2 linked regions of the Ovis aries genome follow. The protein of the gene in region 1 interacts with the protein of each later gene in a biochemical or structural test. Links are inferred from orthologs where the notes say so. Each region holds a gene or a part of one and is shown in the gene's direction. Other genes may lie near its edges.

Region 1 (3,814 bases):
CGGTGCGGGCGCCCTGCAGGTGCCCAGCCGGGAGCTCGTATGCCGCTCGTGCCTGAAGAAGACGCTGCACAGGCTGGAGGACATGATGCGCATCCTGCAGGCGGAGACCGCCACAGGCGCGGGGACGCCCACCTCCATCGCAGACAGCATCCTCAACATCACAGGTGCACCGCCCCTGCCGACCTCGGACCCCCCACACCCCTCCCCTCACTTGTTTCCCCCGACTTGCCTCCCCTCACTTGCCTCCCCCCACCTCCTCTCCCGCCCACAGGTGACCTCATCCACGTGGCCAGCTCGGATGTGCAGGGCCCACAGCCCTCGGAGCTGGGGGCGGAGCCGCCCTCACTCCTGGTGGCATCCAGAGCCTACCAGCTCTCGTCCGCCCTCGTGGGCATTCTCACGCGCTCCCGCGTGCTCAACGAGGAGCCCCTGACGCTGGCGGGCGAGGAGATCCTGGCGCAGGGCAAGCGCTCGGACCCGCGGAGCCTGCTGTGCCAGGGTGACGCCCCAGGCCCTGGCTGCCACTTTTCCATCCCCGAGGCCTTTAGCGCGGCCCTGCCCAACCTCAGCGATGTGGTGCAGCTCATCCTGCTCGTGGACTCCAACCCCTTCCCCTTCGGCTACATCAGCAACTACACCGTCTCCACCAAGGTGGCCTCCATGGCCTTTCAGACGCAGGCCGGCGCCCAGATCCCCATCAGGCAGCTCGCCTCAGAGCGCGCCATCACTGTGAAGGTGCCCAACAACTCGGACCAGGCCGCCCAGGGCCAGCACGTCTCTGCCGGTTCCGCCGTCATCCAGCCCCGGGCCTCAGTCAGCGTCGTGGTCACTCCTGAGAACAGCAACCCCGAGGCGGGGCTGCACCTGCAGCTCACCTTCACGGTGCTGGATGGTGCGTGGCTGGCGGGGCCCTTGGTGGGCGGCCTCCTCTCTCGGCCCAGCCCGTGTGGGGCTGCAGGGTGGCCAGCTAAACCGGCGTTTCTCACGGGCACCCCCAACTTGCGGTCTATGTCCTGCTTCATGAGGCTCTAGGGGCCCGGCCGGAGGGCCATGGGTGGGCTCCCAGGGCATGTGGGCTGCCTGGGCAGGGGTCTGAGCCTGCCCGTGCCGCCCGCCCACAGAACAGTACTTGCCGGACGAGCCCGAGCCCTTCCTGGCCGCCTACCTGCACTCGGAGCCCTGGCCCAACGAGCACAACTGCTCAGCCAGCAAGAGGATCAGCCTGGAGGCCCTGGCGGGCGGCGACCACAGGCCCTACACCTTCTTCCTCGCCCCGGGGTGCGCGCGCACCGGGCCTCAGAGGGCGGGCTCCCTGCGGTGGGAGTGGCCGGGTGGGTGGGGCGGGGCCTGGCTGTGACACGCCCCCCTCCAGGTCCCGAGACTCGGGCGCGAGCTACCACCTGAACCTGAGCAGCCACTTCCGCTGGTCGGCGCTGGCGGTGTCCGTGGGTCTGTACACGTCGCTCTGTCAGTACTTCAGCGAGGAGCACATGGCGTGGCGCACGGAGGGGCTGGCGCCGCTGGAGGAGACTTCGCCCCGCGAGGCCGTCTGCCTCACCCGCCACCTCACCGCCTTCGGCGCCAGCCTCTTCGTGCCCGCCAGCCGCGTCGAGTTCACCTTCCCTGTGAGTGGCGCCGCACCCAGACGGAGGGGAGCCCGGCGCCATGGTGCGCGGCCTCGGGGCTGACGGGCCTGTCTCCCTAGGAGTCGGCCTCCGGCGTCAACCACGTCGTCCTGCTGACCTGCGCCGTGTGCCTGCTGACCTACGCAGTCATGGCCGTGATCCTGCGGAAGCTGGACCAGCTGGACATCCGCCGGGTCCGCGCCATCCCGTTCTGCGGGAAGGGGGGCCGCTTCAAGTACGAGATCCTGGTCAAGACTGGCTGGGGCCGGGGCTCAGGTGAGGGGCTTCCAGCAGGGCAGGTCCACATGCAGTGGCCTGTGGGCATGCAGTCCCACTGGCACGCACAGGCGGGCAGGACCAGCCGAACCATCAACTGTGTGGTGGTTTAGTCACTACGTGGCCCCACGGTCTATAGCCTGCCATGGGATTCTCCAGGCAAGAATACTGGAGTGGGTTGCCATTCCCTTCTCCTGGGGATCTTCCCGACCCAGGGATAGACCTGGGTCTCCTACATTGCAGGCAGATTCTTTACCGTTTGAGCCCCCAAGGAAGCGCATCTATCCGTATGGGAGGTGATTACTAAACGGTAGCGGGTGGTCTGGGTGAAAAAATTGTTTTCACAATGTCGCTAGCTCTCTGACCATCAGTTACAGCCATCAGAGAAGCAGCTTGGCGTGGGGTCAGTACTGCGTGTTGGACGCTGAGATCAGGCATCTTGTTTCTCTGTGGGAAACTGAGCGAGTAGTCTGAGCGGTGTTCCCGTCAGTGAGCACTGCCTTAGGGGCGTCCTTGTGTTTTGGCCAGAGGTCATTTTACTGTCCATGTCGTCCTTGCTCCTGCTGTGAAGCACCTCTGAGAGCTCATCGCATGTGAAGAAGCATTTGCCGTATTGGTTGCTCTGCGGTGTCTTCATCCTTTTTGTTGCAACCAGTGTCCTCGCTCATGTTGGCCACTCATTGCCACTGGCGGCGTTTTTAGGGCCTGGGGCAGCAGCAGGAGCCGCACAGTTGGCTGGGTCTTCAGTTGCGTGTTTGCCTTTGATTCAAAGTGCACTTTTTCGGTACCGGTTTTCATCTCTTTGTTGTGCTTTCGTGTTTATCACCAGGTTCCCTCTCTTATTAGGAAAGTGTTTGTTTTCTTAAGGTTTTGTGTGTTTATCCTGAAGCTGCCCCAGGTCTCCGTTGCTGTGTGGGCTTTCTCTAGAGGCGCGGGCGCTCCTCTCTAGCTGTGGAGCACGGGCTCCCGGTGCTGACTCAATACTGCGGCTCACGGGCTCTAGAGCCCAGGCTTCATCACTGAGGCGCCCGGGCCGAGTTGTCCCACCGCGTAGTGGAATCTTCTGGGACCAGGGATCAAACTTATGTCCCCTTCATTGCAAGGCAGATTTTTACCACTGGACTGCCAAGGAAGTCCAGGGAAATTTTCATCTTTGATGTTTTTTTCTGTTCCTCTCTATGACATTCATAGAGCATCTTGTGGGTTTATTGTGGCCGACACGGGGCGAGACCACTGTGTGCTTCTTGGTTGGAGTGAGACGGGCGCGTGGGGGCTGGTCAGCAGCAGGCTGTGGAAGAGGCGGTGCCGCCAGTCACCACCAGGACGCAGGTCCCTTATGCAGCAGACTGCAGGCTGGCAGCCGCGCTTCTGGTCCATGTGGCCGCTCACAGTTAATGCTCCACTGCTACTGGGGCCGTCTGTGGAACAGTGTGAGGGCCTGAGGTCATCTGTGTCAGAGCCATGGGGCGAGGGCCATGCCTGTTGAAGGGAGATCTACAGGCAGATGCACCCGGGGTCAGTGTCCATGGACAGAAACCCAGAGTTGCGCCCATGTCTGCCCCTGCTCCAGGGACCACGGCTCACGTGGGCATCATGCTGTATGGGGCAGATGGCCGCAGCGGCCACCGACACCTGGATGGGGATGGAGCCTTCCAGCGCAACAGCCTGGATGTCTTCCAGATCGCCACCCCACACAGCCTGGGCCGCCTGTGGAAGATCCGCGTGTGGCATGACAACAAAGGTGGGGCCCGCTGCCCGCTCACTGCCTGCCCCACCCGCCCACCGCCCACTGGCCCTGACTGCCTGCCGCCCCTGAACACCCGCTCGCTCTCGCAGGGCTGAGCCCCGCCTGGTTCCTGCAGCACGTCATTGTCCGGGACCTGCAGAGCGCCCGCAGCACCTTCTTCCTGGTC
Region 2 (3,814 bases), on another chromosome or scaffold:
AATAGCTTGTGGTAGATTTAGGGATTGTCTTCATCTATTGAAAACCTTCTCTGTAAGGTTTTGAAACTTTTAGCCTTCATTTTATTTCAGATGTATTTTTCCCAAATTAATTCATATCTCACTATTCTGCTCAGTTTAATTATGTTCATACTGTTTCTTAGGATAAGAAGTTAAGATTTCAGTTGTTTATGTTGTGAGGGACTTGGTAAAACAGACTGGGAAATTCCTGGTTTTCTTTGCTGTATCATATATTTCAGATGCACAAAGAAAAGTCACTCAAGGAACTGAAGATCTGCGTGAATTTGGTAATATTCTGATAGGACGGCGTAGGTAATGAAGCTACCTAAAAACTTGCTTGTTAATGACAGTAAAACAGTTAATGGCATTAGTTGCTTGTCTTTAGATTTCAATAATCTACAAAAAAAAAAAGGGTAAAATGTAAAGTAAATAGAAGTAAGTTCCAAAAGCTCATAACATTTCGATTTTGGTCGTTGATGACTATGAAGCCTAAAGAAATTGCACACTCTCATGTCTTTCTCTTCTCGCAAGTTGCAACAGGAACTTCTAGCCATAAAACAGCAGCAAGAACTGCTAGAAAAGGAGCAGAAACTGGAGCAGCAGAGGCAAGAACAGGAAGTAGAGAGGCATCGCAGAGAACAGCAGCTTCCTCCTCTCAGAGGCAAAGATAGAGGACGAGAAAGTAAGAGGCACCAGGGTAAAAGATGGGTCTCTTCCCTCATCTTTAGCTGATTGTCATTCAGAAAGGAGCCTGATAAAGAGTGGAATTAAACTTGTCAAAATTGTCTGTGTTTAAGTAAAAGAATAAATTATGGGCCCAAATGTAAAGCTTTGAAATTCAGATGTCAGCTCTTTGCATTCAGTCTACAGGCATCTTTGGAAGTAAATTTAACCTTACTTGGCAAAGATGATAATATCTTTTATTTTGCACCTTAAAAATAACGTTATGCTAAGGCAATATGGCTATGCCATTGTGTTTCATGATAAACTTACTTCCACATTACTCCACCTTCTTCCCATTCAAGTAGTGATTGCTGTTTAATAAGTCAAGCCTTGTCTCATTTACTTTTTAAGTACCCAGACTTTGGAAAGATTTAAGGTAGAACTTGTGTTTAAAAAAAAAAAAAAAAAACAAAAAACTATCCACAAGAGGGAGACAGATCCAAATAATTCCCCTGCATGAGGTCAGTTCAAAATCAGGTCGTAGCAAGGTTTAAAATGTGATGACTTGAACTGAAATTGTCAGCATTATTTATTTGTTTAACGCTCAAAAGTTTTCCTTTTTTTAAGTTAGTTTTTGAAAACTAGAAATTCAGAAGAGCTCATTTAAATGTGTTTAATCACTTATATCATCCCCCAAGATTCCTGACTTTTAAAAAACAGTGCTTCGTTCCTCAGCAGTATTTTTTAAAGCTTAGGAAAAAACTACTATTAATTCTGGGAATCCCCGTTCTGTAAAAGCAATTAAATCATCGGAGGTCTTTTGAAAATTGGCAGTTGAAGCAGTAGTTATGAAACATTACTATGTCATTTTCTAAAGCCTGTTTAGACTCTCGTTTTTTCTTTTAATAGGAAAACTCATATGCTGTGACCAGTAATATTCCAGAGGCAGGAAAAGACAGAACCCCAAATCACCATCTGTTTCTGTGTGTGTGTGTTTCAGGGGCAGTGGCAAGTACAGAAGTAAAGCAGAAGCTTCAAGAATTCCTGTTGAGTAAATCAGCAACAAAAGACACTCCAACTAATGGAAAAAATCATTCCGTGAGCCGCCATCCCAAGCTCTGGTACACGTATGTTCAGCGTTTGGCTTTCTTCATCCCCAGGGGTAAAGATCACAGGTTCTCAATTCAGCTGACCTGGGCACAGATCCCTGGCCTGCCAAGTTCTGAGCTATATGGCCGAGGGCAAGTTCCTTGAATTCTCTAGTGCTTGGAATATTTCTCTGTAAAAAAGAGGATTTCTGGAAAGGTCCTGTAAAATAATGTGGTAAAGTGTGTAACAGAGATTAGCTCTTAAATAAGTGTTAGCAAGTACCACCTTGAGGGCTACAAAGTATTATGCATGTTCTTTGCCGAATGAATAACTGATAAATGTAAGGTGGGGCATAGAAATTAATTCATATTTTGCATTTTTCTATTCTCAGATGGTACATCTGATATCTCTACAATTATTTCTGAAGATTTGGCTGGTTGAGATTTTATTTTACTTGGCTTTATATAAGATGGATATCTGAGTTATTTTTTTTAAGTCCAGAAGATTTTTGACATAATTAAAAAAAATGAAAAGGAAGACAAAGGAAGGAAGAGAAGGGAAGACAAGAAAAGTAGCTGACTGATACATCTAAGTTTTAGTGACCAGTTTAGCCCTGCCCACCCTGAAAAATGAGAGTATATTGGTTTTTAACATATAAGTTGACACATAATACACTGTGGTATTATGGTTTTTTATGCAACCTTGTTTCTCCAAGTCCAGTAAAGAGATACTATGCAACACACAATTTTTTCCGTACAGTATGAGGGAAGTGGTATTTTTAAAAATCAGGAGAAAAACTGATAGGCAAAGCATATCTCAATATAGACTAATAGATTATACTTTCATCTCTCTCATATCTCTTCCCTGATGGCTCAGATGGTAAAAGCGTCTGCCTACAATGCAGGAGACCAGGGTTCGATCCCTGGGTTGGGAAGATCCCCTGGAGAAGGATGTGGCAGCCCACTCTAGTACTCTTGCCTGGAAAATCCCATGGATGAAGAAGCCTGGTAGTCTACAATCCATGGGGTCATAAAGAGTCAGACACAACCGAGTGACTTTGCTTTCACCTCTCATATTTATAAAATATGTTTAGGATTTTATACTTACATATTTTTAATTACATCATAAGGATAAGGGAGTAAATGCTTGATTATTGGAATTATTTGATATTCTGTTATCTTGACATTTCAAGTATGCCAGGAGTTCTATTTAAAGAGTTATTGTTTTTCTAATTCTGTCCTATAAGTATCTTCCCATTTCTGCATCCAAAAACAAAAAGGTAAATAAGGCAGATTCCAGAATGCTATATAAATAATTTTTAATAATTTATATGATTTTTATCATGCATGTCAATTGACTTGAAAAACCAGTCCCTGAAGAAAATTTCCACATGTTCAATCAACATCAAAAATATTGAAAAAGAAATTTTGTTTTATTACCTAGAATTACATATATAATTTATAACTAATTCATATCCCTTCTAAGTTAAAGCCTCTTTTAAGAAAAGATAATTCCTTTTTTTAAAAGTGGGAAGCAGCTACATGCAAACAACTTGTCAGCTGAAAATTCTTTAGCTGTTCCCTTGGGTATATTCGACATGGCTCTCCAATGTTACTTAGCAATCCTTTTTTTTTTTTTTTGTACTGAATAGTAGGATCCAACTCCTGGATAGCTAGCCATAAGTCATTAATTTGTGAAATCTGAACTTAATACTTTTTTTTGCCAATCATGATCAGATGAAATATCCTCACACTAGTTATCTTGAGATTGTTGATTCAAAGAAATAATACTAGTATCATCATGGTGTTGATACTATGTCCTATCTAATGTTTTCTTCATATATAATGATTATAAATGTTTATATTGGCTAGGTAGTCTATGTTCAGTCCTGAACTATTCTCCACTGACACAACTGTATCTCTTTCACTTGTATTAATGCGGGGAAAGATAACACATTTTGAGAGTTCAGTTTCATACAAAGAAGAATGTGTCTTCAGTCTTTACCTTGAAACTGCTGTCGAAGTCAGGAAACCTGGGTCTCTTG

What was found.
Region 2: the proteins of PKD1 (region 1) and HDAC9 form a complex in vitro, tested with the Homo sapiens proteins (2 studies listed by BioGRID, with this or other methods). The link is inferred for Ovis aries from reciprocal best matches to the Homo sapiens genes PKD1 and HDAC9.

What each region holds. Positions count from the first base shown.
Region 1 is NC_056077.1:2,155,214-2,159,027, reverse strand, and holds part of PKD1 (polycystin-1), read left to right. Parts: intron 1-19; coding exon 20-164; intron 165-271; coding exon 272-892; intron 893-1,121; coding exon 1,122-1,278; intron 1,279-1,372; coding exon 1,373-1,625; intron 1,626-1,705; coding exon 1,706-1,901; intron 1,902-3,471; coding exon 3,472-3,642; intron 3,643-3,737; coding exon 3,738-3,814. UniProt on the Homo sapiens protein: Component of a heteromeric calcium-permeable ion channel formed by PKD1 and PKD2 that is activated by interaction between PKD1 and a Wnt family member, such as WNT3A and WNT9B. Both PKD1 and PKD2 are required for channel activity.
Region 2 is NC_056057.1:28,171,164-28,174,977, forward strand, and holds part of HDAC9 (histone deacetylase 9), read left to right. Parts: intron 1-549; coding exon 550-700; intron 701-1,681; coding exon 1,682-1,808; intron 1,809-3,814. UniProt on the Homo sapiens protein: Responsible for the deacetylation of lysine residues on the N-terminal part of the core histones (H2A, H2B, H3 and H4).